Linked DNA regions of Alligator mississippiensis. The protein of the gene in region 4 interacts with the protein of the main gene of each other region in a pairwise test. Links are inferred from orthologs where the notes say so. Each region holds a gene or a part of one and is shown on either strand. Other genes may lie near its edges. The genes, in order: ZNRF2, MID2, TRIM32 and UBE2N.

Region 1 (7,988 bases), on a different chromosome or scaffold from region 4:
AAAAAAAAAAAAAGGTTATTCAGCTCCAGTAGGGCATAAATTCTATATTGTCTCAGACAATTAACACTAATGCTTTATCACTCCGGTTTCAAATGCTGATGGGAAATAAGACATAGCGAGCAACCAACCAGTGTTCTACAGAAAGCACATTTATGCAAATATTATCATCTGAATTTGGAACAAGAGGAAAAATATGGCCTGCAATTAATTAGGTAAAATTCTCATGCTCAAGAAATCTCAACCAATCACTGGGAGGGAAGGGGGGACACCCAAGCTGCATATTTTGATCTTTGATTCCTACCCCATATTTTATCCCATTTCTCCTTGCAACTATGCAGGCTCCACTGAAAGATTTAAAGGGCAAAATCATTTTCTTCAACAAACAAATTACTAAACATTAAGTTTTAATCTCTCTCTCACTATATTTTAGCTGTAGAATAAGCAGTGGCACAGCACCCTTTGACTGCCGAGGGAATTGTACACAACTGTTTTCCTACATACTGTAATATTCTGACACAGCAACCATCCTTACACCAGAGCCCTGATCTGATTAAAGTCGATAAACAGAGAGTTAATAGATATGCAGCAGCCTGGCACTATACAAACACATATGCTTATTTTTTCTCTTTCAAGGACAAACGCTCCTTAGTAAGGTAGCCTGACACTTTCCATTCTTGTGTTCAGCCACAGAACTAGGAAGAGACAATAGCAGACTGAGGAGATGACAGGACTGTCTTCAGGTCTAAACACACAAAAAGGCAGCCAACAAAGAAGTCTATGTGTTGAGAGGGGTGGGGGGTGTCACTCATGCCAATCAGCCAAGAAGCGTAAGGACTGGGAAGAAAAAGATCTTAATTTGACCTTCTGTTCTTGAGATTATGCCACTTTCATTAAGGACTGAGAATGAGTTTCAAAAATAAACCCACAAGATATTCCATGTCACAGAAACTATGTTCGATGGCAACAAACAAATAGATTTAGCAGCATAAATGGATAACCTTTAAGACAGGCACTTTGCACTGAACAACCTTTCCCCCAAAACAACCAGTTTTGATCTCCTTTCCAAGTCAGCTAGTCTTTGCACATATATATTAGGTTCCTATAGCTTTTAAAAGAATGACCCCATCAATGTCCCGCTGCACCGCAGCATTTGCCCTTCTGACATGAGTGGCCCTTTGATAGCCAGTGTCACTGAAGGAAGTCAGCTCAGCTTCACCTAAAAACTTATGCTTGAAAGAAATGGCTTAGTATATGAACTCCCCCCGTACCCAAAACTATTCATTCAAATTGTACTGTAAAGAAAAAAAGTCTACACCCAAGAGATTCATTGTTTACTTTGACTCTGCTCCCTGTAAGTTGTCAGTGGTTTTCAACCTTTGTTCATTTGTGAACCCCAAAACAATTTTGAATGGAGGTGCAGACCCCTTTGAATTCTAAGTGTGGGTAGTCACAGACTTTTGATTGAGTACAGTCATCTTTCGTGGACTCCATAGACATAGTCTGCGGACCCCCACGGGTCTGTGGACCACAGGTTGAGACCCAGAGTTAAGTAGTTTTGCTCAACCCTCTGTCTGCAGCTTCAAGGAAATACACTCTGGTACACCAGAAATGAACTCATATAGTGTGGTTTTGGTGAGAAGGGCTCTTTAAAGGAACTCAGCTCATCTATAACATCAGCATCTCTGCGGGAAGGAAGAGAACCCAGAGAAACTTGCAGTTACACTACTGTCACTAGCAACCAGCTTTCATTGGAGAAAACCCCAAGTCTCTGGACCAGGAACAAGCTGTGACCACGTGGTTTTGCTTTGTTGGGGGTTTTTGCCTCTCTGAAGCCGGATTTCTGCCCCAAGGAAAAGCAACAGCACCAACGCATGATCCAATTAACTCCTAACGATGTAAGGAACAGGCCAGGGTATTTACCCAGTCACTGATTACAGCTATTAAAGTCTGAAGTTCTAGGCCAAAGCAGCTTCTTTCCCTCTCACCCCAGCGACTGCTGCATTGCTGTGGGGTTTCATTTCTACATCCCCCTCCCCCCTCCCTCCTTCCGCTTTTAAGCCTCCTAGAATAAGACCAGCCCCACACGGCGGGCCCAGAAGCGCGGGAGCGCCCTGTCTGGGGGAGGCTGTGCCCTGAAGTCATGGTTCACGATGCACAGCCATTAGGGGCTGGAAGGGGCCTCGCAAGATCATCGAGTCCAGCCCCCAAAGAAGCCCACCCTCAAATCCTGTCCCCCCCGCCGCAGCCAGGTGCCGAGCCCCGCGCCCCTAACACGCCGCCGGCGGGGCCGTGACGGGGGCAGGGAGAGGACGCAGGGCTCCGCGGGTGGCGCCCTGCCCCTGGGGCGGGACTGGGCCAGGGGGAAGCTCGTTACACAGCCTGGGAAAGTCCCAGCTCCTAGGGACAGACAGCTGCCTGGTCCCGTGCTCCGTGGCTGGGTGGGGAAATGCCCCCCTCAGCCCACCCGGCCCTGGCCCCACGCTACCTCCGAACAGGTGCGGCGAGAGGTGCGCTGGCAGGGAGCCGATGAGCAGCCGCGCCGCCCCCCCGCCGCCGCTGCCCGCGGGCCGCTCGCGCCCGCCGTCCTCGGGGCTGCTGTTGACCGAGTCCTGCGAGCCGGAGGCGCCGCCGCTGCTGCCGGGGGGCTGGAGGGGGGCGGACGAGGCGGCCCGGGCCCCCGCCGCCGCGCCGGCCGAGCGGCTCCTCGGCGCGCCCCCCGCCGCCGCCATCGCGGCCCCGCCGCCCGCCGCCGGGCTGCCCGACAGCCGCCCGTCCGCGCCGCCGCTGCCGGAGGGCACGTCCCCGCCCGAGTACGCCCGGCTGCGGCCGGCGGCAGCGGTGGCCGGGCCGCTCTGTTTCGCGCCCATGCTGCGGCCGGGGCCGGAGCTGCGGGCTCCGCGCTGGGTGTCGCCGCCACGCGGCTCAGCGCCACCATGAGCCACCGCCACCTCCCGCCCCGCGGGGTCTCAGCTCCGCCGCCGCCATGCCGCCGCGCTGGGGGAGGGGCAGCACCGCCTCCGCCGCGTCGCGTCGCCATCCTGGGGGCGGCGCTGCGCTGCGCTGCGCTGCGCTGCGCAGGGGGCCCGGCCCGGCCCGGCTCGGGTCGCGCGCGGGGCCTCTCGCCCTAGCCGTAGTCCCAGCCCCGCGGCGAGATACGCTTGGGAGCAGCGGGCACCAGGGCTGCGCCGCTCTGGCCGCGGCGGGGACACAACTCCTTCCTGCTCCCTCGTGGGTCTGGCCCCGAGCCTCTCCCCAAAACCTCCCGGCCTCGGTCCCAGCGGCGGCACTGGCACACCCCGCTCAAATCCCCCACCTCGGTGCTTCTGGACCCCTTGCCTCCCCCCAACTTCTAGCTAACCCACCTCTCTGCTTGTCCTGACACAGCCCCCTCCCCACTTTTCTTTTTTATAATATATTTCCTGTTCCAGATCAAATCTGCTCCAAATCGTATCAATTCAACCCTTCCAAAATCGGTATGGATGGAGCAGGCAGAGCTCCTTCTAACCACCATGTATTGGCACTCCAACCAGCGAGCATCCTCTGTCCCAGCCCTGTCATTCAGGAACTTCAGAAACTTCTAAATCCACTGGCAGACATCCCATGTGCAGGTCCAAGCCCAGACGTCTTGGGGTTCAGATGCCCCTGGATACTACAGGCAAGCATCCTCCATCCCTGACTTTAGTCCCACTCTTCAGGTACTCCCTACCATCGATCTTAGGCCACAAGAGGCCAAGAAGCAATGAGGGACTTGAGGCAGCGTTGGGGGAGCCCCTGTAGCTGCTGGGCAGGCACCTGGGAGCATCCCCCCTGCCCAGGCCCCCGCTGTGGGGAAAGGTCTGTGGAAAGGAGACAGGGGACCATAGGCGACTGGTAGGGGGTGCACATGCCCCCACTGACAGCCGACACTGATGCAGTTGGTAGGGCTGGTGCCCCCCTGATGGCCACCGCCTTCAGCAGCTTCTGTGGGTTCCCCACCCCCAGATTCAGGAGGCACCAGTCACTCATGCAGAGGACATCATGACAGAGCCACAAGAGCCCCCCACTTTGTCTTCCCCTTGCAGGCTTGGAGAAGAGCTGAACCACCCACGCAGCAGCAGGACCTTGGCCGCCCTGCTTTACCTGGGGCAGGTCAGGGAGCGAGGTCTTGTGGTGCTGACTGGGTAGTTTTGCTAGGAGGTCAGGCCCTGGGTTTGTAGGGGGTGGTTTCGCTAGGGCTGAGCCTCCCTCAGGCAGGGGGTTGGACTGGATGACCTTTAAAGCAGCTTTTCTCAACCTGTGCATCACGACCCAAAAGTGAGTTGCATGAATATATTAAAAGGCCATGAACAAACTTTACAAATGGATTCTCCTTTAAAGGAGAAAAACATGGGAAACCATGGCTTTTTCCCTCGCAGGCTGGCAAAGTTCCAGTCTGCAAGCGGCTGTTTGGGCCCCATGCCCCACACACACACCCTTGCCCCACATACAGGGGGTGAGGGGCAGTAGGTCGGAAGTGAAGGGCACTGGGTCGGGACTGGCCATTGATGTTTACAAAGAAGGTTGGTACAAAAAAGGTTGAGAACCACTGGACTAGATGAGGTCCCTTCAAGCCCTGCTTCTGTTATGATTCTGTGAAAACAACTCCCAGTGTTGCCTCATCTGGGGTTTCCTTAAAACCCCAGCTGCTGGAAACAGATGATTAGCTAAGAATCCCAGTTCTCGGGGGTTTCAGGGAAAGAAGTTGTTCACCTTCACAGTTGTGGAGCAAACCTGAAAATGTGAGTCCAGGGCTAGAGGCTTTACTGAAGATAAGAAATGCAGACATCCATATAGTTACACCTGGTTGAATTGCTCTCATCTCAATCTTAATCTACATCATACCTGATATCTAGATCATACCATATTGGCGGTCAGGAAGGAATTTTACCCATGGCTAAATTGGTTTGGACAGTGGGGGGTTTTGCCTACCTCTGTAGTGAGTGGCGTGGCCCTCTACACAGGATCTCTAAAGCATATATTGACAACATTTCATAGAAGCAGGACGTTGGCTGCCATGGTTTCCCTGCTTTGCAGGTTAGAGTGCTAGGTCTGTGTGGCATCAGGATTGATAGTAATCCTATGTGGAGTTTAGATTATGGATTGTATGGGATTGTTCAAATAGAGATTATCCTGTCTCAGGCGGGGGTTGAATTAGATGGCCCCAGGAGGTCCCTTCCAGCCCCACTTTTATATGATTCTATATAATGGAGGGGAGGGGGAGAGGGTGGGAAGGATTTAAAAAGCATAGTACATCACTTCAAAAAGACAGTTGTTCATGTGCCTTAAAGCTAGAAATGCACATACATTTGCTGGTTACCCTGCACAGAAATAGATATACACAAGCGAATACATGCAGGTCTGTGCTACCTAAAAAGGGAGAAGCTACAAAGTACTATTATGCTCTGAGCATTTTTGTTCAAGTACAGTTTCCAGAGGAGTTAAGAAGAAATCTGCCCACACATCTAGGCAACTCTTAAATGAATGAACATCTTGACTAAGAGTAGCGAGATTTCATTGAAGGTGACTGAAATGAGTTCCTATGAGCTATAAGTACAGAACTGTACAAGGAGGCACGCTGAAGATGTATCTAGGATTTTAGGTTCTGAACCACTGCAATATTTCAAGGCTCAGGAGGCAGACTTCTACCGATAGAAAAAAAAGTGATAGTTAGGAATACAACAGTGGCTATTCCATGTTGGACCCTTCTCAGGAACAAGTTTTAGGTTCACAGATTTTAGTTTTTCTAAGACAATGGGGGCCAGCTATTTTAGCAGGTGTGCCACAGATTAAGCTTGTGCTGTACCTGAGTGCCATTCTGATCCCCTTCCCCTGCTCAATCTGATGTCCTGTTCACTTTTCTCTACCCTGTGTTCCCTGTCCACTCTGCTTTCTGCTCCCTGACAGTGGCATAAATAGGGCAGGGATACTGGAGCAACCACCCCAGGTGCTGACAAGGGAGGGAGACAGCGGGGAAGTGGCTGCTGCTGGCAACTGTGTGATCATGACTAAGGTGGCCACCAGACACTGCTGCTGCCCTGGGTGCCTTGCTGCATCCCTATGCTGCTGCTCTACCTGCCTTGTGTTCCCCTCGCAATATGCTGTTCTGCTTTTACTTCCTGCCCTACCTGCAGCTTTGACCTCTGCCCGCTCCCTCATCTGCCATGGGCCACACGTACACAGGCTACCTATGCTACTTGTGGCATGTATGTCACAGGTTAGCCATTCTGCTTTAAGATACGAACATTCAAACACCAATCATGTTTTAGCATTAAATAGTTACGTTAATTTATCATTTTTGGTAACCAGCTTATTGACAACAGATTCTTAGAAAATGTTCTTTTTCACTCGGTATATAGTTATAGCAACAGGTTATTTGTTTTTAAATGAGATGTATCATTTCAGATTTTCTACAGGACCTGCAGGAAGCTGCAGGAAAGAACGCATTACTTTTATCAAATCAGCATATAAACCTAGAGGGCTGTAAGGTGGTTCTTACTCAGCCACCCAGCTGCAGTTCCAATAAAGATATACACTGACTGAGAACTGTCAAAGTTGCCATTTCTCGATGCACCCTTCGCTCTTCCCCTTGATGTTTTTTGTACACCAGAGCAGCAAGAGGTAGTTCTGATCTTGTTACAGGATTGAAATGTTTCCCAGCTGGACAAATTCTTTCCAGGCAGTTCGGTCCTGACTGCAGCCTTTCAGTGTTACCAGACTGATGTAAAGAGATGGGAATACTGGGAGAAAATCTTGTTGCACATTTTTACTATGGGCAAAACTTGTTACAGGGAAAATCCTACAGCCATTAGTCCCTTACTCAGATGAAACTTTAATGAGTCTTGCATAAATAAGGATATATGGCTTTGGCCCTATAAACTGAGCTAGCTATCCACATTAGTTCAATCTCCACATGACAAATTGCAGCATAAATCATTTACTTCTTTAAAAATAGAAAATATGATTGAATGTCTCTGCATCCAATATATACGAGCAGGATTCCTACAATCAGTCATCCAAAATAAACTGTTTATATAGATGACTGGCATAAATAAAGTACATAACTGCATAGAGGAGCTTCATATTTTCAAGGCTCTCCATGGCTCAGTGAGTTCTATTTGAATAAGGATTCCAATGAGCTACATATACATCAACATCACAATGGCTGTAGCTTCCAATTTACTGCATAAGCTTTTCCCCCCCCAAATACTTGCCCACATTAAAAAAAAAATATCTAAAAACATATTTTGTGTATGATATATTAAGTTGCTGGGACATCTTTTATACCAGTCATCAGATGTGATTAGATGCAAACAAGCCTTTTAAATCCGAAAGACTGAAAAATGTCTGAATGCAGAAGGAAATCAAATCTTGGTCAGTCATGCTAATAAAGTCAACAAGGCATTCCATGGGCCCATGAATCCACCTGAATAATGTTATGTGCAGGTCTCAGCCCTAGCTGCATTATGAGCCATGACAGGAGACACCCTGCATTTTCAGGAATGTTGCTACTGCTGGAACCAAACACAGGCATTTTTGCCACTGTGTTGTCCAGCATGGCTCAGGGCAGATTTCGAGGACAGTGTGTTAGCATACGGCTAATGCCTTTGCACCACTGCCATCATCAATGCAGCTACCTCCAGAACTAGGCCAATAGTAGAAGAATTTCTAAAAATCCTCTTGCTACACTGAGTATTTCATGAATTTACTCCACCTTTGATCTGTTAAGCATTCATTGTTAATATAGGCAGCATTTGCCTCTCAAGAGTATTGAACATAACTTGGAATTAAGAAGGCCTGTAAAACAAGTTCAAGGTGTTCTAATCGTTAATTAGTCTGACAAGTATAAAATTAATCATGTACAGTAAATCCATACAACTCATCCAGCTAATAAATCAAGACAGGAGAAAGCTTCTTTTTTTTTCATCTGACCCAGGGGCATGCCTTCAACTCTTCCCAAAAAGCCCATAAAA
Region 2 (7,987 bases), on a different chromosome or scaffold from region 4:
TTCAAAGGACAGAATTTCTCAGCAGCTGCAGTTTCAGAAAAAGAAACATTTACAAAACAGGCAGGGCAACTTTCAAAACATTCACTGTACACACACTGCTTTCACTCAACACTGCAAAATGGTCCTCAGGGCACAGACCTGTCTCTAATCACTTCTAAAGCACAGGGCACTCCCTAGGTGCTGGAGCAATATCATCACCTGTCTAAATCAATGCCACCGCTGTAGCAGATGGTGTTTCCTCTCCCTTCTTGTATCCTTACCCTGCTTGCTCTCTTTTTTGAGCAGCTTTCTTACTTAAGTTTTACCAAATATCCAAGCACAGTCAATTTTGTATTTTGTTTCACTGCAACAAAGTTTTGGGATATCTTTGCCGTTTGCTTCCACAATAACAAACAAAAAAATGAAATTGCACAGTGAACAGCAACACCTATGTATCCCTATGTATCCACCTATGTAACAAATTACATGTAGCAATGATGAATTCAGCACAGGGTTCAAAGCACCTGTAGAAGTGGCCTGCACCTCACTCTTCACTTTCTTCAAATTCTTGTAGTCACTTTATTCTACAGCCTGTTTTAGCTGCACATGATATCAGTGCCCCCTGTATTGAGGATTACTTGGATTATTTTAGAGGAGGAAGGCAAGCAAGCATGCAGACAGGCTTTATTATTATTAGAAAGATCAAGGAGCATCTCAAACCCATGTACAGCAGGGCAAGCAGTTGGCACTGCACTGCAAATTCCCAGCAATGCCCACCTGTGATCTAACTTGTAAGGGCATGATGTTGTCTAGGAGCACACCAACAACTCCATGCCTATGCCGAATTCTAGAGCATGCAATCTGGAAACCTGGTTGGGCTGTGGCAGATGCGTGAATGGGGATGATCTGCCTGAAGTCACTAACAAAAACCAAATGGAAAGGATCACAATTTGTTTTAGAGAGGGAGCAGACCTGGACCACAGTCAAAAAGAAAGAGGCGGTGCTTAACGCATTAGCACCTAGGGCTTGAGAAAATGATGGGACACCAAAACAGAAGTCCCAAATAAAATCCCCAGAAATTTGTGCAACCCGTGAGGTTGAACTACCTTGGAAACATCTAGAATGGCCTGCATTATAGGCATAGAATACATGGTTGATACCAAATGCACAAGTAGAGCCTGAAGACTAGAACTTAAAACAGTGTTAACTCGGACACATTTCTACCTTGTCGGATATTTACTTCAATCACGCTTTGCCGCATTTCAAAACCAGTAATAGTCAGTCAAAGAACAGAAAGCCAATGAAACACAACAGTAAAATATTATTTAAAATACCAGCTGGTTATGGACTTCACCACATAAAATTATTATTACTGTCCTTATAGGCATGAATTTTCTCTCACCTTGCTGTCAACTTCAGAAGAAAGCTGACTAAATAACAAGAAACCCATTAACTCACATTTAACTAACCTTTATTGCCACTAAAGCTGTAGAACATGGTTAGCAATGAAATCTGAGGCAAGCAGACAGTATACTTACTGTACAAGGCTCCAAGCTCTACAAGACTCCCTGCTGGCAACCAGGGAAGCTTGAAACTAAAATGTGTCATTTTAAAATTTAGTCTCTAAAGCAAAAGATAGAAAGGATACAAATTCAGACTCCCCCTGAAAAATAAAATCAGAGAGAGTGAGAGAGAAATCATGATTGAGAATTCAGGCAGTACCAGGAGCGTATAAGTGGCTGAGTGAGAACTTTGCTTGGCTCAGGGACCGAGATCAGAAAAGCTACCAGCAGCCAGCTGATGATTGAATTATAAAGCTATTCCCAACTTTAGCATTTCAGAGCCAACAGTAATACCTGAAAAGGAAATGAGGTGTCTTTACTTCCACGGGTGTAATCTGGATTTGCAGGATGTATCCAGCTTCCTTGTCGGGGGGTGGGGGAGGGGGTGGAGAACAGCTGGGCAGCTCTAGCAGTGCGCACTAATGGAGCCTTCCTCCCCACAGAAGCTGCTTGAAAGCTTTTGCCCTCGCGCTTTGCAGGAGGCAGGCTGGGTATTTAGGAAGCAAGAAGAGGGTGAGAAAAGAAGAAGTGGGGGGAGAGGGGAGGGGTGATCACTTCGGCCCCGTGTCTCTCTGACCTACCCACCCCAGGGAAGACTCGCCCAGAAGAGAAAGGATTTTAATCGAGCTCCATGACACAAACAGGCCGGAAATGGCAAACGCAAACAAACAAGCAACCCACACGCAGACCCGAACCACGCGGCAGCCGGGCCCGGCTCGGGTTTCACCGCGGCTCCCTCGCAGCGCTCGCCGCCAATGCGGAGAAGGCAGCCCCTGGGCTGCGGGCGGTGTGCGCACGGGCTGGGGGCTGTGGCAGCCTGATATCCCGGAGAGTCGCATCCACCCCGCCATAACCGAGACTACCCCACTCCCTTCCAGGAAGGGCAGCACCCCCGGGCATGCACGGTTAACCCCTTCCTCCCCCAAGCGCGGACACCACACGGTGCCCCCCCTCCCCTCCCGGCCGCAGGCAGCAGCTCCGCAGCATCGCCCTCGCCCTGCGGAGGCGGGGAGCGGGCGGCCCGCAACTGTCCGCGGAGCCTCACGGCCTGCCCGGAGCGGGGGACGACCGGCACCGCCGCCGCTTCTCGGCGCCCGGCTGCGCTCCCGCCCCGACCTCCCCCGCCGGGCGTGTCCCCGGGGCCGGCAGCGCAGCGCAGCGCAGCGCAGCGCAGCGCGGGGGGCTCCTACCTACCAGCCGGTTCCAGCAGCCGCCCCGCCGCTGCCCGGGCATCTTGGAGGCGCAGGAGGGGGACGGCGCGGGGGAGCCGGCGAGCGGGAGCGGCGCGGGCGAGGGAGGCAGCGAGGAGCGCGGGCGGGGAGGAGGGAGCAGGGGGAGGGAGCGAGCGAGGGAGGAGGCAGCCGCGCTCCGTCCCCGCCGCCGCCGCTCCCGCCGCAGGTGAGGGCGCTGCCGGCCCTGGCGGGAAGCTTGTCCCGTCCGGGCCCCTCCCCGGACACCGGCGCGGGAAGCCCTCCCGCCAGCCCCCCGGGCCGCCGCCTCCGGGCAGCCCAGGGGGCGCGAGCAGTGCGGTGAGGGAGTCCGCCCGGACGCCCCCCACAGCTGCCAGGCTCCCGGGAGCTGCCTCTTCCGCTCCCGCACGGCTGGCAAGCAGCGGTCTTCAGCCGGGCTGCTGCAGAAAGGAGCCTCGCGGCTGCTGTAGCACTCGCTGCCATGAACGGGGCAGTCAGCGCCTCAGAGTGACTGTGCCAGGCTCCCTGCAAAGGCAGGAAGGCGGCTGCGTGGTATGTACACTCCAGGTTTTCCCTGTAACTGGCCCTAAACAGCCTCTTTTCCTTTCCGTTTAATAACAGCTGAGACCCAGAGGAACAAACAGCTGTGGCCCCTCATCGCCCTTCACAGGCCAGGCACGGTCAGGAACAACTGCATGCTTTGACACTCTCCTCCCCCAGCTCAGTGCTCGAAGGAAGTAGTTGGGGCAGGTCCTGCTTTGAGCAGGGGCTTGGGCTTGGGCTGCGCTGGATGACCTCCTGAGGGCCCTTCCCACCCTGCTGCTGTGTGATACTAAACCAAGATTCTCCGAGCCAGTGCCATTCTTTAGAGCTTTGCTCCACCGGGCCAATAAAAAAGAACTGATCCTGCCAGCAGATCTGGGCAGGATCCTGTGTCCAACCCCACCCTATTGCCAAGGGCATTCCTGCAGGATGAGTTTACACAATTGAAGTCAAGGTTTCCTACTATCCAGTTGTTATCACACTCCGCATGAGAAAAAGGAGTGGGAATGGAACATTAAAGAACATTTTTTTCCTTGTTCACAGGCCAGTAATGATTATAAAGGTAGTCACACGCACACATGTCAGGCAAAGGCTTTAAATGAGATCCATGGGGTGTTTTATTATTCATTATTACAGTAGAGGAGATACTTTAAGTTGAGATTCAATTTCTTTGCAGTGAGTCTTTTAATATGTTTGCTTTTCCATTGGCAGATACAACTGAGAAATAGATTCGCTTTTTTCTTACTTTCTGGTTCAGAAAAGGGTGGTGATGTCCTGATGTACTGTACGTTTTAATACATTAGAAAAAGTCTTGGATACATGTGCATTGTTATTGCTATTTATAAAGTACATCTACTTGTAACACCCAAGGGAAACGAGGATGGGCGACCCAGTGATATATTTATTCTTCCATAATGCAAATCCAGGTCAAACATTATTTATATTTGATAAATAAGGAATTTGTTTCTTTACAAATAAATACGCTAAGAAACATGTCTAAGCCTTGAACCTATGTTGCTTTTAGGGTGAAGCAGGAAGGGATTGTATTAGTGATTTGAAGGAGGTCCTTGGAGCACAGAACCTAGGTTTTATTTCCACCTATGCCCTTAAGTCACTGTGGCTTTCCTCCCTGCTTTTTCATAGTGGTATAACTGGTACATGTTAGCTGCCTCCCTGACTATTTGAGTGGAGTCAAAGCACTTACAGTTTTCACTGGATGCATCTACATGTGTGCTTTAATGCACAGTAGCCTATTTTACTGTGCATTAGCATCACTTAAAAACCACGCGCATTCATTACTGCTCATTAAGGCAGCTTAATACGCATTTCTTAGGAACTCACATTGGAGGTACTAAATTTAATGCACATTAGAAAAAGTGTTCAAGTGCATGTGTAGACATGCCCACTGTGTGGTTAAGGGTAAGGGGTCAATACTATAGCTGGGCCTATGGTTGGCCTCACCTAGTTTACACTGCAGTAAAACTGCAGAGCCAAGTTTCTACTAGTGTTTTGCTGTGAGATTGAATGTATTATCCTACCCTAAACAAAGCCTGCCTCTTTTGGCTATGAAAGCAAAGTCTGTAGCACTCTGGGCCACAATTTCCTTATTTACATCTGTGCAAAATGAGTGTAAAATACAACTGAAAAGAAAACAACAGGACCCGATTTTCATCTTTTTTATGTTGGCACATATCCTGAGGAACTCCACTGAATTCAGTGGGATCAAAACTCATGTGACAGTGTGTAACAGGCCCCCACCTGACTCACCTCAGTACTGCAGCTCAGGTAGCTAGTCTACAATCAAGCCGGCCGGCACCGTGCTGACCAGAAGAGCACTGCTGATTGGCCTGCGGCCCAGGGACAACTGGCTAAAAGCAAGCCTGGAAGGAGAGGCACACACCAGAAATGGTTCTGGACATTCTCCCTGCTGCTGGAAGGGACCCAGAACCTTTCCCCAAGGCCAGCACACTCAGTTAATTGATGCATATCTATCCCGCAGGCAAAGCATCTGGGAAAAATGTGGATGATCACCTCAGCATCGGAAGGAGTTGAACTGCTTCCCCTGAGGCCAAAATGCCTAGAACAGTATTCAATGCTATCCCCACTGCTAGGGCACTGGGGATCCAGCTAGGCGTTCTCCCTCCCAAGGTGGCCAGTGAGCAGTTCAGCCCAGGCACAGCAGGACCCTGCCACATACATAGAAGCCAGTGCAGAAGCACCCATGTCAGGTCAGGCTGAAAGAGGGCAGCCCAGGGGGTCCTGCAAGGGACAACTGGTGAAAAACCCAACAGCATCCAAACTGAGACCATTTTGCATTCTTCAGTGATGTAAAACTATATATGAAGTCACAAGGTGCCAGGCATTATAAAGTCAAGCCAACTGTATCTTTTTTTACCTGCTTCAGTTTGTCTGTATGCATGTGCATGTAAATGCTCAGAAAGGTTTGGGATGTGGCAAGATGTGACAGAGAGATGGCAAGATGGAGGGATGCGGGGCAGAGCATAGTCTAAACATGGAAGCAAGGCATCAAGGGGTGGCAGGGATGGGAAGTCCTAGCAATCACAACTCAGCAGATGCAGCATAAAAAGTGTCTGCCCAGTGTCAAGGTGGGGGAGGGGTGAATGTGGAATACAGGTTAGGCCACATTAAGGAATAATTGGTAAAAGAAAATCTCACCAGAAGATATTAACAGCTACTGCTACTATTCTGGGCCTTGCAGATAATTACCCAAGTACTACTTAAAGAGGCAGAGGCAGGGCTTCCTTACCAGCCAGGTTCAGTATCACCAAAGAACTGCTGTCAAACAGGAGTCTGATATCCCGGCCCAGTCCCCAGTCATACAAAGCCAGAGCTCCAAATCTCTCCTCTTTTTCTTCTAGCAATGAACCATTAAAAGACCCCAATTGGCTAAAAGCAAAAGTAAAATCACTAGGATGAAACAGAATGCAGGCAGCAGGTGTTTGTGTGCAGCAGCTAGGTACATGGCATCTTGATTTTCTACTGTCTTCCAGCTATGCTCCAGCAAAAACAACCACGCCTCAGCCCTCAAGAAAGGTAAACAAGCTGACAGCAACTGGAAGTGGAGAGGTTGAGGAGCAGGGGAGCTGGAGTAGCAACTCAGTCTTAGGCAGGATGCAGAAAAAGATTAGTGTCAGTGGCATTCTCTTGTCACACTATCGTTCAGAAATCTGACTGCATCTGGGTACCTCACAATTACAAATCAAACACCATGACAGATGTGTGCAACTGTATCTCTGCCCCTGCTGTGGATCCATCTGCATAACATGTCAGTTATTTCAGCTTGGGTAGGCCAAAACTATACAACACACTTAAGAATCTATACGATTTTTTTTTGCAGCCACAAAGATGTTCTTTCTGAAATGGGAGGATTCATGCTGTCCCTATTCCTGATCATTTCTCCTTGGAATTTCATTAAGCTGTTCTCAGCCCTGGAAATTCAGTTGTTTTTTTCTTTTTAAATGTAAGCTTGCTCACCTGACAGGTTTTTCTAAGCTCCGGTGACTCTTAATTAAAGGAGGTATTTTCAGTTCACAAGCAGCTTTCCTAAAAGGTTGACAAGGAGAGAGGATCGTGTCAGGGAAAGGTTATGTCATGTTCCAAAGTTCTTCTAGCTTAGTTTTTCCACTTAAATAAAGTAGAATTTGGGGTTGAAAATGTCACAGGTGATGTTTGGCAAATATTTACAATAATAATGTTATTCTTTGCATGTTCTTTGTTAAAGAGGGAAGAAACTGGCCAAATGCATTTAAGCGCAGTAATTGACTCTGTTGCTGGATAGTACCTGTGTCTGATGGGACTATCCGACAGTGCTGTAAATTAGTCTACACTGGCCAAATTGCTGCACACATGTAGACTGTGATGCTTTACTGCACAGTAAATTAGTCCACTGGCCAAACAGTTGTTTAAGTCTGCTGAAAACCACTAGCACACTATAGCCCTTTGAATTTTTATTAACCATTTTAAATGAAACACAGACATCAGTAGACCCTACACACCTGATTTTCAAAGGTGGGAGTACCAGGCAATTTCCCACTGAGGTAATTTTGGAGTCATGAGTGCTCCACACACCTCTGAAAAGTAGAAACAACTTTAGAACTAGTCTTTATTTCTATGTAGCATTGTTAAAATTAGTGCTATTTTTCCCAAGTATGCTGTGAGGCTAATAAGTGTTCTCACTCACACTACAAATGGGAAACTGAGGCAGAGAAACTCCATGATTTGCCCAGAGTCAGTAACACAGCCAAGATTAGAACATATGACCTCCTAAATTTGTTCTTATTTGTCAGTGTACAACATGGTCAGAATCAGTGCTTTTTTAAACCTTGAAGCCCTCTGTCTGTTTTTGTTCCTGCTACTCCCAGCCCTACCCAAATATGACAACCTAGCAGATTAATTCCCAGAAAGGAATCTCCTCTAATTTTCCAACCCTGAGCAATTTACTCAAATTTTTATCAGTTCATTTTGTGCTGACTTCATTAGTATCTTCCTCATCTCCATTTTCTAATGCAAAGGCATGCACTTCTTGTTCCTTGTTACTACACACAAAATAGCAGCTTCAAAGTCTTAAATGTGAGGTGGATATTTTGTACCACCTGATGTTAATCTCTGGAATTTCAGAGTCTGATCAGAATTTAATTTGGCTGCTGTGATGAGTAACCAGAGGCCCTATTCAGATGACCCAAAACAGGCACT
Region 3 (7,428 bases), on a different chromosome or scaffold from region 4:
ACTTCACCTTTACAAGGTGCTAGCTCTTTGAGGCCTGCACTGTGACCTTGCTGTGTGCATCCCTTGCTGCCTGCATTGCACCTGGCTCATTAGGAGATGGATGGAAGCCCTGCGCTGTACACTCATAGATGGGACCCCATGCTCTCTCCAAGTGATTGCAGGTCTGTGTCCCCATCAAATTGAATGATGCTTCAAGGGCTCATCTCATGGGTGTGCAGCTCAAGGACCACTCTCTTTATCCTGGAAGGTCAATATTTCACCCATTCCTCCCCAACACGCATGCATACGTGTACAATAGATTTTCCTTAGCATGCTCACAGTTCATTGCCATCAAATTTTGCCCGCTTGCATCACTGTAAATTCACAAAGATCTTGCCAAGTCTCGTTCAGACCTTCAACACCACCTCAGACAAGGACTTCTGGCTACCACTAATTAGGCAGAAATGGGGGGTGGGGCAGGAGGAGGAGGTCATGTTAATGACTGATGTGGGACCAAACATACCAGACAGACATGACCAAAGACAATGCCATCTCTCTGGGGAACGCGCATCCCCGAGGGTGCTGGTACTCTATTCAGTAGATGTCCGCAGCATTTTACTGTCATCAGGGAATGGAGATGGAAGCTAGTAAGGACGCAATGGATTTCATTTCCCCTTGTGACTCAACTCAGGGCTTTTCTCTGCTCCCTAGAGAAGTGCACTGACTGGCTACACTGCTGAGCTCCATTATTTTATGATAACTCCCCCAATCAGAGGATGGTGCCGCAGATTCTGGTTCAGTCTTTGGCTTCGGAGCACAAATCTGAGCACAATCCATGATCAGAGGTAGGTTTTTAGATCCTTGTGGCTGCATACTCACAAAGAAGAGAGCCAGTCTGTATGTCTCCATTAATAATCAAATGGTTAAGAGTCAGAAAATCTGGCTCCTATATCCATCTCTTCTATAGAGTGACTGCACAGTCATACTCAAGCCACAAAAATCATGGTATGCCTCAGTTCCCCATCTGTAAAATGGGGACCCTGTTAATGTAATATAGCAGATATATTGCTTATATGTTACTAGATACCATTAGAACCTCTCCACTGAGCCTCAAAGGTCCTGAATTACTAACTTATAAAGGAGATGAGGAGAGGCTGAGGGAACTGGACTTATTTAGTTTGGAGCAGAGAAGACGGGGTGGGGTAGCAACCTTCAACTACCTGAACCAGGTTCCAAAGAGGATGGAGATGGACTGTTTTCAGTGGTGGCACATAATAGAACAAGGAACAATGGTCTCAAGATGCAACAAGGGAAGTTTAGGTAAGATATTAGGAAGAACTTTCTCACTAGGAGGGTAGTAAAACACTGGAACAGGTTACCCAGAGACATGGTGGAAACTCCATCTTTGACAGTTTTAAATACCTAGGCAGACAAAGATTTGGCTGGGATGATCTAGTTGGGGCTGGTCCTGCTTTGAGCAGAGGGTTGGATTAGATGTGACCTCCTGAAGTCTCTTCAAACCCTAATTTTCTATGATTTTATGATTCTCCATTAATTCAAGAACAAAAATATATGTTACTGGAATAGAGGGACTTGAATATTTGCTAGAACAATAATTCTGAACCAGGATTATGCCATCCTTTTAAGGATACCGCACAATATTAGTACTGTTTGGCGTGCAAACACCTATACGATTCACAACATAAACCTAGATGTTTCAAATAGAAACCCATAGTGTCAAAAACATGTCTGACCTGTTGTGGTCCTTCTGAGTTCTTTGCAGCAGGAGACCTACTCTATTTGTTTCTGTAGTAAAAACAGATAAGCAAAAGCTAAGAGCTGGCATTTTGGGGGTGGGGGTGGGCCTTGAGTCTAAAATAGTTTGAGAACCCAGTGTGCTAAGGTCATGGGCTTCTGATCAGCTTTCTTTATTTGCAGGGTTTTTGACAGCAGCCCAAATATTCATTATTAGAAACTCTGAATATAAGGGGAGCCAGTCAGTTTGGGGTCTTCTAGTATCACAGCAATGGCAGCACTGTATACTTAACATGCATTGCTTAAAGATTTATCAGTGCCATGGTATTTGGCAGCCGCCAGACTGACAAGCCCCTATAATTTTCAAGTCAAGTCTGCTATTAGAGGCCTTACAAATGGAGGGGGGCTAGTTGGTTTTGGGGTTGCTAAAACCGTGGCACCAATAACACTGTAAGCAAAGCTTAGTAAGTACATACGTACCCTGTGCTGTCAGGGCTACAGTGCCAACAGTTCAGAAATTGACCAGCTTCCCGAATTTCCAAGGTTTTTCTCCTCATATTTCGAGGCTTCTGTTACAGGGGGAGTCAGCCTTGTTTTTGGCAGGCAAGCCACAAATTAGCTCTGCATCCTCCCAAGTCCCACTCTGATCCCTTTCCCCTACCTGATCTGTTCTTCTGCTTTTTGCTCTATGCTCCCTGACCAACCTGTTGCTCTGCTTTTTGCTCCCTGCTCTGTGCTCCCTGCCTGATCTGATGCTCTGCTTTCTGCTCCCAGCCCTATCTGCTGCTGTGCTACCTGTCCCCTCCCCAGTCTGCCACAGGGCACACACACAGATGCTGCCTGTCCCACACGTGGCACCTATGGTGCAGGTTGGCCACCCCTGTTCTATTAGATGCTTTGAAAATAAAGGGAGATAGCAGCCACGAAACAGATTAGTCCTGCTCATTTCCGAAGCTCTAATGGCATCTCTTTGACAGCAGCTTCCCGTTCCCTGTTTCTGGCAGTTAAATCAAGGCCAATTAGTTACTAGGTAAAGAACTACCATTACAGTCAACATGCAATTATCCAAGTACAATGAAGTTATAAAGTAGATAGCAGAGCTGAAATATGCTATGCACTTAAGCAGTGTATGCACTTAACCAACATGGTAAATTAAAATGCAGCAATACTAGATGATACAATGCGTGGGCAATATAAAAGTAAGCTAATTATACACTTCCCAATATTATATAAGTGAAATACATTGCATCTATAAAGCAGTCTGAGATCCTTGGATGGAAGGTGTGATGCATCTTAGAAATATAGGAACGTAACTGGAGGGCGCCTCCTTTTTTGTCGGTAGGTGAGGAATCCCCCTGAGGTCACCACCTCAGTTGCTCACGTACAACTATAGGGAACAGTATCCAATATACCAAGAACAGCTTGTCTCATGATCAGGTCCTATCCATGTCAAATCCTACAAGCAAAGAAGGGCAGGCTGGGATGCAAACCCCTGCTTCCTCTTCTCTACAATGGGGGTTGGTATTAGAGCAACTAAATGGGTTGCTGGCCTCCAAGAAGGGAAGCAGGCCTACTCGCAAATGCAGGCAAGACCTGGCTCTTCCTAAGCCCCAGCCTCATGATGCTGCCTAAACCACCCTTTATGCACATCTCTGCAAAAAAGGACCTGGGGGTTACAGTGGACAATAAGCTGCATATGAACCAACAGCGTGCCCCAGTTTGGGGGGTTTTTTAAGGAAAATTTGTTGTGTTCCAAGCCAAATCCATGAGTCATTCAAGAACCGAATGTGGCCCTGCTACCGGCAAACATCCTCCACCCCCTGGGGCTTCAGATGCTTCTAAATCCTTTGGTGGGCATCCTACATGCAGGCCCAAGCCCAGAGGCTTGGGGTTTGGATGACTCCGAGTTTTGCTTGCCCTCAGCCATACGGCTGCAGAAGCAAGCTAGGGAGGAGACTCCGACTTCCATAAAGTGGGTGTAACACCAAGATCTTCCCACTGGAAATGAAAGTGGGAGGTTACCTACACATTACTTCTGCGGATACTACCGTGTGCCACAAAAGCGACTAGGAAAACCCCCATAGGGGTCCTGGTATTTCCCCTGCCGGGTAAGTATATAGTACGAAGTATGCATGATATTAATCCAAAGCCAAGGCCTAGTTGCCGAGAAGGCTAACGGCCCACTGGGCTGCACGAGCACCAGCGTTGCCAGCGGGTTGATTCTTCCCCTCGATTCAGCACTGGCGAGGCCACATCTGGAGTGCTGTGTCCAGTTTTGGGCCACTGCTATGAAAAGGACACGCACAAATTAGGGAAGAGCCCTGCGAAGGGCAACCAAAACTGGTTCAGGGGGGCTGGGCGGATGTGACAGATGAGCCAAGGGGGCTGGGCTGATGTAGTCTGCAGAGGGGGACTGAATGGCAGCTTCAACGCCCTCCAGACAGCTCGAAACCTCGGCGAAACCCTTGGCTCCTGCGAGTAAGGTCACAGCCACGACCGCCTCGGGAGACCGCAGAGGATGGAGCCGGGCTGCTCTCCACCCAGCCATGCTCTCGAGCTGCAGCAAGGGTGGAGGCTGGGTACCAGGAAAACCAGGGTGAGGAGCATCGGAGCAGCTTCCCCGGGCACGTTTAAGACAAAGCCGGGCTGCGAGCAGACAGGCGGCCTTAGGGAGGGGCCTGCAGCATCCCCGGGCCGGACTACAGCTCCCAGCCTGCTGCGGGCGGACGGGCGGGCGGTGCTCGCCGGGCAGCCTGGGAGCGGCGGCGGCGGCCGGAGGAGCGGGCAGGTAGGCGGCAGGGCCGGGCCAGGCCGGGCCGGGCCGGGGAGGGGCCGCGGATGCACCCACCTCGGGGCAGGGAGGAGCAGCGCCCGGGCGGCGCCGGCTGTCCGCCCTGCAGCGCTGCGCCCGCCCGCCCGCGGCCCGCGGGGACACAGCGCGTCCCGGCCGGGCGGGCGGGCGGGCGGCACCAGCCCGGGGGGCCTGAAGCCTCCGAGAAACCTGGGGCTCCTGTGAGTAAGGGCAAGGCTGGGAGACCCGCAGGCCTTCCTGAAACCCAGGAGCTCCCCTGCCTCTTTCTGCCTCTCTTTCTCTTTCTTTTTCCCCATCTCTATCTCTTTCTCTCCATCTCTCTTTCTCTATCTTTTGCTTTTTCTCCATCTCTCTCTCTCTCCATCTCTCTCTCTCTCTCTCTCTCTCTCTCTCTCTCTCTATCTGTTATTGAAAGGCCGCTGTTTCCTTCTGCCTGTTGGAAATCTGACCCGCTTTAAAAGGAAAAGCTGCTTATCCCTAACAAAAGCATGCCCCCTTTCAAGGCGGTCAGTAGCCCTGTGTGGCATGTCAAGCATCCTTTTTTATCCCTCCTAAGCAAAAGCTGTTGGCATGTTTTCCTACAGACCTAGATCAGTGGGTCTCAACCTCCTTAGACCCAGCCCTGCTTAGACTGAAAGCAGTCCCCAGAAAAAGCCAGCTTTTCATTTTTGCTCGTTTGATTACCCACACACCCACACAATCACACCGCCTTTTTCCTATTGCATGCATGCACACACAATAATACAGCATTTTTCCTACTGCATGCGTGCACACACACGTGCGCATGCACACACAATAATACAGCATTTTTCCTATATTGCATGCATGCACACACACACAAATTTTACATTTTTCCTATTGCACGCACACATGTGCACACATGCACAATTATACATTTTTCCTGTTGCACGCACGCATGTGCACACATGCACAATAATACATTTTTCCTATTGCATGCATGCACACCTGCACGCGCACACAAAATAATACAGCATTTTTCCTCTTGCAGAGAACTCAGAAAGACTACCACAAGGATCGGTGTTTTTAATAGGATGGATTTCTATTTGAAGTAGCTGGGTTTGTCTGGTGAATCGTGTTTGCATACCTAATAGGGCTAATATTGCATAGCACCTTGCAGTACCCTTGGGACGATCTCAAGACACCCTGATTTGAAATCACTAACCTAGATAGTGGGTTTTGTTTTACACTCTGGGTTTCTTGCTTTTAGCATTTTTCAGTGCCATTGTTCACCCCTTGAGGGAGTGTTTTTGGCCTACTTTTCAGCATTCTCTCTTTTGGTCCCACAGCCTCCTACACATGCTAAAGATAAAGGCAACTCTCCTGTTTCAGTGCTGGACACCTGTCACTTCCCAGGGGCTGTGTTAAGTCCGCAGTGCTGCTAATCCAAGGAGCTAAGGAGCAGATCTCAGTTGGTAGTTCAGCGCAACTCCACTACAGGATCGATTCAGTCCCTGGGAACGAGGGCTGCACAGAACAGCAAACTCTGGTTGGTTGAAAGCAGATAAATGAATGTATGCTTCACCCTCCGTGAGCACAAAGTGCTTCTCTCTACTATAAATGTCATCTTTCAGTTGAGCAAGCGGTCTCCTGAAATGTACCAAACCTTTCTGTCTAAAATGCTCCCAAGACTGAAGCAGGCTCAGCAGGGAGGTAAAAAATGCTGAGAGCAAGCAACCCCGACTCAGAGAACAGCTGAGAGTTCACAGTTCTGTACAGGTCTTGCAGCACTGTTCTTCATCTGAAGAACCCCAAAAAAACAACCCTCGGAGATTTCTAACTCCCCTCACCCCAACCCCTCAACCTCTTTTAATGGCAAAGCAAAGCAACAGCAAAGATATGGAAACGGAGTCTACTGAATAATAGCTTAATGATGTGAACCCTTTTGAATGGGGCTGCTTTAGTGAGAGCTGCTAGAATCCTTTCACAGTAGGGAGTGATGTGAAGATACAGGAAACCTGGATAAGCAATGGCATTAGACTGAACCAAAATGGGATGGATGCTACCAGATTGTTAAATTAAATTAAATGAGCTACATTTTAAAACCAAGTCTGAGAATGAATACTGAACACTCACATTCACATATTTTTATTGGACCAGTTATTAACGCTTTCACTGGTGTAGTGAAAGTGGTTTTCCCAGTGTCTTGGGGTACAGAAGCAGGAATGAAGAGATGAACGAAATGCATTAGATTAAATCTGAACAGCATACTTTCAAATGGGCTAAAACTCTATAAACCAGCTTCTGTCACATCACTTACACTGGAATTTATCTTTCTTCAATGCATATGAAACTTGCAGCTGATCATAGTTATCTAGAAAGATAAAACAATCCTATTCACTTTACCCATGTCTGATGCCACACACGAATCTAGATCTCTAGGGTAGACATGCTAGTATCCTAAGGCAGCCAGGATGTGCTCCTCATCGCCAAACTTTTAACGTGCAATATCTGATGATCTCACAGGTCCCTTCCAGCCCCTAAAGTCTATGAAATCTTAATGCTTGGTGTACTTGCCCAGGATTTTCTTACATTATATAAACTTGAAGGCACTCTGAGGACAGAATTCAGTCATCAGTATCTATTGTTGCCCTTGCACTTATTTCAGGTTTGCTTATACATTATATTTTGCAAGTAGATTATTCATTGTATTGGAAAAGGCAAGTTAGCATTGGAATTCGCCCAGTGTGAGACCAGCTGAGATTAATCTGCCCCTTTAGCATGTGGAAGGACCAACTGGATTTCTTCCTTTTTTTTTTTGCCAGAGCTGGCTAATAAATCAGAAATATATTGCATGTACATAGAGCTGCTGGTGGAGAGAAAATAAATCACTTTTTACTTTTTCTTTTTGGGCAGGATCAGAG
Region 4 (7,372 bases):
AGTCTTCCACAGACATAAGTGGATGGCTTACACAAATCAAGGATTGTTTTATGCTAATGAAACCATGTATTTATTTATGTACTGTCGCATTAAGTACCGCTCAGTGAGAAAATATATTCTCCCCAAAGCCACCATTATTTCTGCCCCTTTGCTTCCTCCTTTTGCCATTACTCCCCCTCTCACCTCTCTGTATTTCCTTTCCTGTATCTCCAAATTCCCACCACAAGGGGCTTCAGTTCTGCTAGTCCACCTTCTAAAATAAATCAGCAATGGAATAATTAATATTAACACAAAAGCTAGAAGGTATAGAGAAGTTAACAGAGTTATTGTTTCAGGCTGTCTGCAGACTCAAGCAAACAAATTATAGTTGGTATGTTCTCTTCAGACACAGTAGTTAAGAAATTTCACATATTAAAAAGATAACTTAGATTCTGCACAATACAAGTCACTTAAGCTAGATTCAACCTATAGGCTATATGATACTTTCCAATTCATGCATAATTACAACCCTGACCACTGCAATCCATTATATGATCAAAGTTCAAACACATAATGTACACATGGCACTGCACGCTTAGCCCGATGCACATACTTAAAAAAAATAATAATAATCAGCATCTTCCACAACAGCATTCTGCAAGAAGACAGCTTTGGAATTTCAAGCTAATTTTAAGCTATAAAGGGTTAAAAACAAATTTAACTTTGAGGAATGGCATCTTCACCAATCTTAGAAACGCATTGTGCAATTTACTATATACTTTGTAAAGTAGGAAGAAAAACAAAAATACAGAAGCACAGGAAGGAAACCTGTGTGCAACCCTGCAGATAGATCCTTTAATTTTTAGAAAGTTAGAGATAATACTCAAGGCCACCTTAAAAAAAACAAACAGAAAATTCAGCTTCACTATACAGTTTTAACAGGCCTCCAGAATAAGTAGTGTCTAGTATACTGCAGGACATTAACCACCACATGCTATTAACCAACTGTAATATTTTTAGTGTTGGATAAACTGCATTGAGATAGCTAGCTAAGTGACATTATCAAATTATATTAAAACTTCTGTCTTTAAAATCCCTAGAGCAATAGTAAACATTAAGCAACTGGTAATCAACTTCACCATCTTTAATATTAATTCTGCACAGTTTAAGTGGGATGTACCTCCCTATTCCCTCTTACTATACTACCTTACTCACTTTCGTTTACAGCCAATCTGATAATACCTTTTACTTCAACTTTTTGCATAATCTGGGCCTTGATGTTTGTAATAGTTGCCAACTTTCAGCATGTTCTACCAAGAGCAGCTTCACAACATTATAAATTGCGCGCCAGATATTCATTCACTTCAGCAAGAAACAATGGTGCTATTATCTCTAATCAGAACTAATGGACCTTACTTGAACAAAGCTACTTTTACAGAACCAGTCATCACCAATTTGAGGGCTTGAATTCACATCACTTCTCAAAACTTGAAGCTGTAGCTAATGAGACTAATATTTACACCATGCTAAAAGGAAAGATCCACAATAAAGATCACAGATTAATGTTATGCTGCCTCAAGGAAAAAAATGCATTGTGTTATTTCACTCACATCTCTTCCTTAAGATGTAGATGTCAATATAAAAACTAACCTATTTGTTTATGGTCCACTATAGCTTAAAACTAAACTGATTTCAAAGGACCCATGTTACTATTAAATCATTTCAAATACCATGAATACAAAATACTTGGTTGGATCCCCTACAGTAGCCACAAAAACATATTACGAGCTGAAAACTCAACATGACACAGCTCTAAATCAACACTGTCTTAAACAGACAGCAATGTCTAAGAACACAAATACTGAAATAACTTTGATTTAAGGCACCCGCAATATTTAGCTTGTCATCATTATATCTTATTAGTAAAACAGAGAACCTTTTGTTTGCATCTCAGCCAGGATGCTGAAGCAACCTGGGGTGCCTGGAGCTCCAGCCTTGTGAGGTGTGCAAGCCCAATTCACCCAGAGATTTCAAACAGGAACCCACAGTGCAAACAACATCCTGCCCTGTGGTGGTCTTTCCGAGCTCTCTGCAAGACTAACATTATTGCTCTGTGATGTTTCCACAGTCTAAAAACAAGTGAAAAGGAAGAGCTGCCACTTCCCAACAAAGCCTGGACAAGGGAGACAGGGGTTGAGCCCAAGAAGATTGAGAACCAGGACTCCAGCACTTGGCAGGCAAAGCATCCACCTTGTTACCCCCTTTTCCATTTCAGAAACAGTCTGACCCGGCTCTCACTTCCTGCTCCCTCAGAGCCACCTCCCCCAGGCCAGCACAGCCTCTGCACTGCCCCTGGGTGCCAGCATTCAAGGAGGAACAGAATCGGGCAGGCCGCACCATGCAGTCGCAAACACTCCTCCCTTCCTCAGTCTCTATTTTTAAAGGACCTCTCACAGGTGAAGCCAGGGCAAGGCCCGGGCCCGCAGCCAGGCCCCTGCCTGCTGGGGGGGCGCGGGGGTCAGCGAGCCCTGAGTCATCGGGTGGGCGCCCCCAGCAGCGAGGCCGCGGCTCTTGGCCCACTACAGCCCGGCCGCTGGACACGGGGCAGACGGGGGCACTTCGGGCTCCGCAGCTCCCGGCGCTGTCACAACTGCGCCCGCCAGGCCGGGCAGGGGTCGGGGTCTGGGCCGGGGACACGGGCTCGGCCAGCAGGAGGCGTCCGCGCCGCGGTCCAGCTGCTCCCATTCATTCCCGCCGCCGCGGCGGAAGCGGCTGCGCCAAGGCCCCGCTCGGGCCCGGCCGCCACCGTCGCCGCATGGGGCCTCCCTCGCGCCCGCCCACACCCGGGCCCGGGCGGCGAGGGGGGAAGGGCCCGGGCCGGGCACCGGAAGCCGCGCGCGGGCCGGGCTGGGAGCGGGAGCCGGGGGCGGGGGCCTGGTGTACCTTGATGATCCTGCGGGGCAGGCCGGCCATCTTGTCTGATCGGGATTCAGGCGCCGCTGGGTCTCGGCTCCGCTCGGGGGCTCGCGCACAACCGGAAATCACCCGCGACCCGCTTCCGGTAACGTCACTGCCCCCTCACCCGCCCCCCCCCGCGCGGCACGCCGGGCAATGTAGTGCAGGAAAGGAGGTGTAGTGCGGCAGGCGGGGCCCGCGGCCTCAGGCTTGCAGGCTGTGACGTGCAGCTGAGGGGGCGGGGAGGAGGAACGCGGGGAGCCACGTGCACTGCTGTCAGGCTCGCGCTGCCCTTGCTGTAGAGTCACGGTGTCCCGTGGGAGGGGCGAGGCCCCGAGGGGGGGGCGGTCCTCGCGCCGTTGGCGCAGCCAATAAGCGTAGAGCTGTGGGGGGAAGGGCAAGAGTGCGGGCCTGTTGCCACCGCCCTTCGTGGGCGGGAGAGATAGGGCCTGGTCTCCGCCCTCGCCCCCACCCCGGAAGTGCTGAGCCGGGGCTGCCGGCCCCTTCGTTTCAGCTGGGCACTGAAGGCTCTCCGAGTGCCGAGTACTGGCTGAGCAGCCTTATCCCCGTTTCGCAGACAGGGCGCCATCTGACGACCACACGAGAAGAGAAAGGCATGTGGGTCCCGCTGCCCCAGTACTGTGGACTTCTGCTGCTCCGTCCCTGCTTGTCTTTAGAGAAGTGGCTAGCTGTGGTAGTGTAACGTCAGCTAGAAGATGCCTTTATACACGCATAAAGAAGATACGCATATAAACAGAGCGAGCGAGAGCAAGCTGGCTTTTGTGAACCCGAGTTCACTCCATCCGATGCCGTCTGGAAAAGTGTAGTCAGGGACTGCCCTGCCTTGAGCAAGGGGCTGGACCAGATTAGGGTTTCTCAGCCTTTTCCAGGCCAAGACACATTTACACGAATAAAATGTCTCCCTTGCGTTCCCTATCCCCCTATTCATGATCTCGTTGTAACCCATTACCAAGGCAAAATTCAGCGGCACCCCTGTTCGTTTGTAATGGCACGCCATTGTGCTGCGGCCACTAGTTGGGAAGCGCTGGACTAGGTAACCTCTTGAGGTCCTTTCCAGCTCTGCTTTCCCATAATCCCATGAAGGGCTGGGTAAGGGCAGCAGTATTTCTAGTCCAGCACCTGCTGAGGGAAGCACTTGGCTATGTCTCATTGGAATCCAACTGTTTCCTTCTCAATCTCACAGGTGTTAATGATGTGCTCTCCTTTTTAATGATCGTAATGTTCAGCTACTGTGAGGTATTTTTTTCTTTTGCAGTTCTGCTCTGAGTTCTTCTGCTAGCCCTGCTCCTGTTTTACAGCTCTCCACAGTCTGTGCAACTCTGACTACAAACATTAGCTCAGCCCTGCATGGGAGGCACTGTCAAGAGGCTCAACAGCAGTGGCCTTAGAGTTGTTGGGGTCCTGGGCAAGCGAGTCATTTGAGGCCCCTTAGAGGTATGTACTCAGGTAAATATTAACCCACCACAGTTGTCTTGTGAATCTTTTTAATGTTTTGGGGGGAATTAGATTAGTAGTCAAGTGTTTAAAATGGAGCCACTTCCTTGCAAAAACTTCCCCCCCCCCACCAAAAAAAAAATTGGACCCCCTAAAGTGTGGGGGCCTGAGCAGTTGCCCAGTTTGCCCTCCCCTAAGGCTGCTACTGGGCTCAAGAAGGTGAGATTTTGTTGGATGAATCTGAAAAAAATCTAATAACTACGGGACTGTGATTACATACTGAAGGTATAGGCAAAGTGGTGCATTCAAGCCATCATCACTTAAAAAGAAACCCCTGTGGGTGCCTCGCCCGGACCAGCTCCAGCCCTTTAAGAAAAAAAAAAAACAGAGACAAGCCCCCAAGACTCGCTGCTCCTGCAGCAGCCTCAGGGCTTTGCGGGGCTTGTGGCAGAGCCCCCCACATAGCGTGTGACAGCAGGGATTGCCCCCTGCTTGGCAGTACCTGGTGAGTCTGGACTTTTTTTTTTTCTCCTTACAAGTGCTGGGAGCTGGGGCAGGCGGGGCAGCCATTGCAGGGCTGGGAGAGGGGCGGGGAATGGGCCAGGCCTGGCTAATTCAGAGATTCAGCTGCTGCCGAATCTCCAACCCAGATTTGGCCAAATTGAATCGGGACAGTGATTCGAATCACCAGATCAAATCGCTGTCCCCCAAATCAGCCGAATCCGAAGCGAATACTAGCCACTTCGCACAGGCCTACTATCTGGCACCCTTTGCTGCTGTGTACATATACCACAGTCAGAAGCTTACTGAAGGGTTGAGCATGTCTTTGGTTACAGCTACACGTCAAGCTAATCCTCATGTCTGGACCTTCTTCAGCAAGGCCTCCTAAGCCACGCCTCTGGCCCACCCAGTGTGTCCCCCCTCCAAGTTACCCCTTTTACCTCTATGATCTAGCCAGCCCCAAACCCCATACAGGGCATATATTTTCTGCTTTTCACAAGCTTAAAATTGTGTTCACTTCAGGGTCCCCCTTGTCCCAGTTCTCAGTCAGGGCAAGGAGGGGCTCAGGCATCCCTAGAGGGGAAAAGTCCTCTCCTTTCAGGGCACACAGGTAGGAGGAGAGAATGTGGTCTTGAATGTTGCTGTCCCTCATTTTTTCTACCACCAAACCGAATGCCCTCTATCATATCCCTTGCCCTATCCATCCCCCATTCCTGACCTGAACCTCCTCAGCCCCTCTTCTCCTTTGTCACCTATTCCTCTTTACCCTCTTTCCATAATGTCCCCATCCTTTGCTGCAGCTACAACCTTTTCTCCTGTTCCCCTTCCCATTTTGGTCCCTTCTATTCTACTTCCAGCAAACACTACAGTTGGGGGGCAATAGAATGTGGTAGAATTATTTTGAAGAAATGCTATTTTGAAGGGAAGGACTGTATCTGAGGAACCTTTTGTTCAAATGAACTCAGTTTGGATGATTAAATGCAGGGTGTGTATTTTAGCCCACTTAAATAGTTGACCTTTAAATCGAAAATGTTTACAACCCTAACTATAGCAGAGGTTGCTCTCTACTTAATTGGAAAGCAGTATCTCTTCTGTTGCAGTCTCCCATAAAAGTAGACAAACAATACAAACGTTTTAATTCATGTAGCATTTAAAAATATTATAGTTTTAGAAAATGAATTACTTGTACTGTCCTCAAGTGATTTTACTGGCAGGCATGTTCACCAAAAGAACACACTTTGAGAGACTCCCATAACTGTTCTTTGCAAATTCACAGAAAAGGACTGATTCTAACTGTTTTTGATCCAAACGGAATGGAAACAATACATGCAACTTGTGTGTTCAGCCATAACAATCTGAATTCTGAATATGGAAATCTTGCAACTGCTTGTGAGCTACTGTCCAATATGATTCACTAATTAGTGATTTCACCGGTTCTTTCAAGTGACACACATTTTAAAAAACAACGTATATAGACTTAACTCATGAAATGAGCTCACCATTTGTTAAATAAGGTCCAAGTCATGTAAAGCATTTATTCACCTTTTTTAGCTTTATGCAAATCAGCATTCTGCTGAGTTCACTGATTTCAATTAGACGACTCATATGTACATGCTTGTCTTTGTGTGCAAGTATTTGCAGAGTCAGGGTCTGTTCATTATGAGTTACTCGCCCTCTGTTTCCTGTGCTGATTGAGAAACATTCAATTCAAATCCTTTACTGAGCATTGTTTAAGCATGTTTTTTAACATGGTTTATTCTTACAGTCATCACTTAAAATGTTTGGTGATTTTTTTTTTTAACTTAATTACTACAATTTCAGTCCTGATCACAAAAGTAGAACAAACTTATTTTTTTAGCAACATAATGTATTCAATGTGTGCATGGCAAGTGGCATGATTGCGGCATCACACATTAGATCCCATCATGCCTTATTGCCAATGCAAGGGGAGCCCAATCCCAGGCTCTCCCTGCAGCAGCAAGAAGCAAGCTCTCATTTGAGGGGCTCCCAGCTGCATGGGTGTCCCACATATCACTGGGGCTGGGGGATTACAACAGCCATAATCTTCCAGGCTCAGAAGGTGGAGGGGGGGTAAAAACCCCAGACCCAGGGGAACGCAGCAGCCGCAAACCCTGGGGCCCAAACCTGGAGGTTTCATGTATCCACAAGCCCTGGGGATTGCAGCAGTCATGATCCCCTGGGCCTGGGGGTTTCATGTTGGGCATGGTATACCCCTCTGGCTGGGACACCAACTGTAGGGGAGACCCTGCTACCTGTGCTTGATGACAACCAGCTATAAAGTTAGTATGCATTTTTGAGGTCTATAGCTGGTTGGAGTTTTTTATTGTGTGATAAGTACTTTCCACATATAGGTAAGGTAATGGTGTGATTAACCAGTTAATTGTGTGTTACTTATAATGTGTAGAGAGGGGGCCTTAGAGGTGATCTGTAACCTTGGAAACTTATTGGATTTAAAGTCTTC

Evidence for each region.
Region 1: the proteins of UBE2N (region 4) and ZNRF2 interact in a two-hybrid assay, tested with the Homo sapiens proteins (4 studies listed by BioGRID). The link is inferred for Alligator mississippiensis from reciprocal best matches to the Homo sapiens genes UBE2N and ZNRF2.
Region 2: the proteins of UBE2N (region 4) and MID2 interact in a two-hybrid assay, tested with the Homo sapiens proteins (2 studies listed by BioGRID). The link is inferred for Alligator mississippiensis from reciprocal best matches to the Homo sapiens genes UBE2N and MID2.
Region 3: the proteins of UBE2N (region 4) and TRIM32 interact in binary tests that used the Homo sapiens proteins (3 or more experiments, as listed by UniProt). The link is inferred for Alligator mississippiensis from reciprocal best matches to the Homo sapiens genes UBE2N and TRIM32.

Annotation. Positions count from the first base shown.
Region 1 is NC_081828.1:140,419,421-140,427,408, reverse strand, and holds the start of ZNRF2 (E3 ubiquitin-protein ligase ZNRF2), read right to left. Parts: upstream 3,005-7,988; 5' UTR 2,868-3,004; coding exon 2,486-2,867; intron 1-2,485. UniProt on the Homo sapiens protein: E3 ubiquitin-protein ligase that plays a role in the establishment and maintenance of neuronal transmission and plasticity. Ubiquitinates the Na(+)/K(+) ATPase alpha-1 subunit/ATP1A1 and thereby influences its endocytosis and/or degradation.
Region 2 is NC_081831.1:38,491,502-38,499,488, reverse strand, and holds the start of MID2 (probable E3 ubiquitin-protein ligase MID2), read right to left. Parts: upstream 3,008-7,987; 5' UTR 2,732-3,007; intron 2,392-2,731; exon of another isoform or gene 2,223-2,391; intron 2,207-2,222; exon of another isoform or gene 1,836-2,206; intron 1-1,835. UniProt on the Homo sapiens protein: E3 ubiquitin ligase that plays a role in microtubule stabilization. Mediates the 'Lys-48'-linked polyubiquitination of LRRK2 to drive its localization to microtubules and its proteasomal degradation in neurons.
Region 3 is NC_081835.1:54,504,646-54,512,073, forward strand, and holds the start of TRIM32 (E3 ubiquitin-protein ligase TRIM32), read left to right. Parts: upstream 1-4,422; 5' UTR 4,423-4,522; intron 4,523-4,652; exon of another isoform or gene 4,653-4,746; intron 4,747-5,853; exon of another isoform or gene 5,854-6,053; intron 6,054-7,420; 5' UTR 7,421-7,428. UniProt on the Homo sapiens protein: E3 ubiquitin ligase that plays a role in various biological processes including neural stem cell differentiation, innate immunity, inflammatory resonse and autophagy.
Region 4 is NC_081827.1:87,986,145-87,993,516, forward strand, and holds the start of UBE2N (ubiquitin-conjugating enzyme E2 N), read right to left. Parts: upstream 3,007-7,372; 5' UTR 2,953-3,006; coding exon 2,923-2,952; intron 1-2,922. UniProt on the Homo sapiens protein: The UBE2V1-UBE2N and UBE2V2-UBE2N heterodimers catalyze the synthesis of non-canonical 'Lys-63'-linked polyubiquitin chains. This type of polyubiquitination does not lead to protein degradation by the proteasome.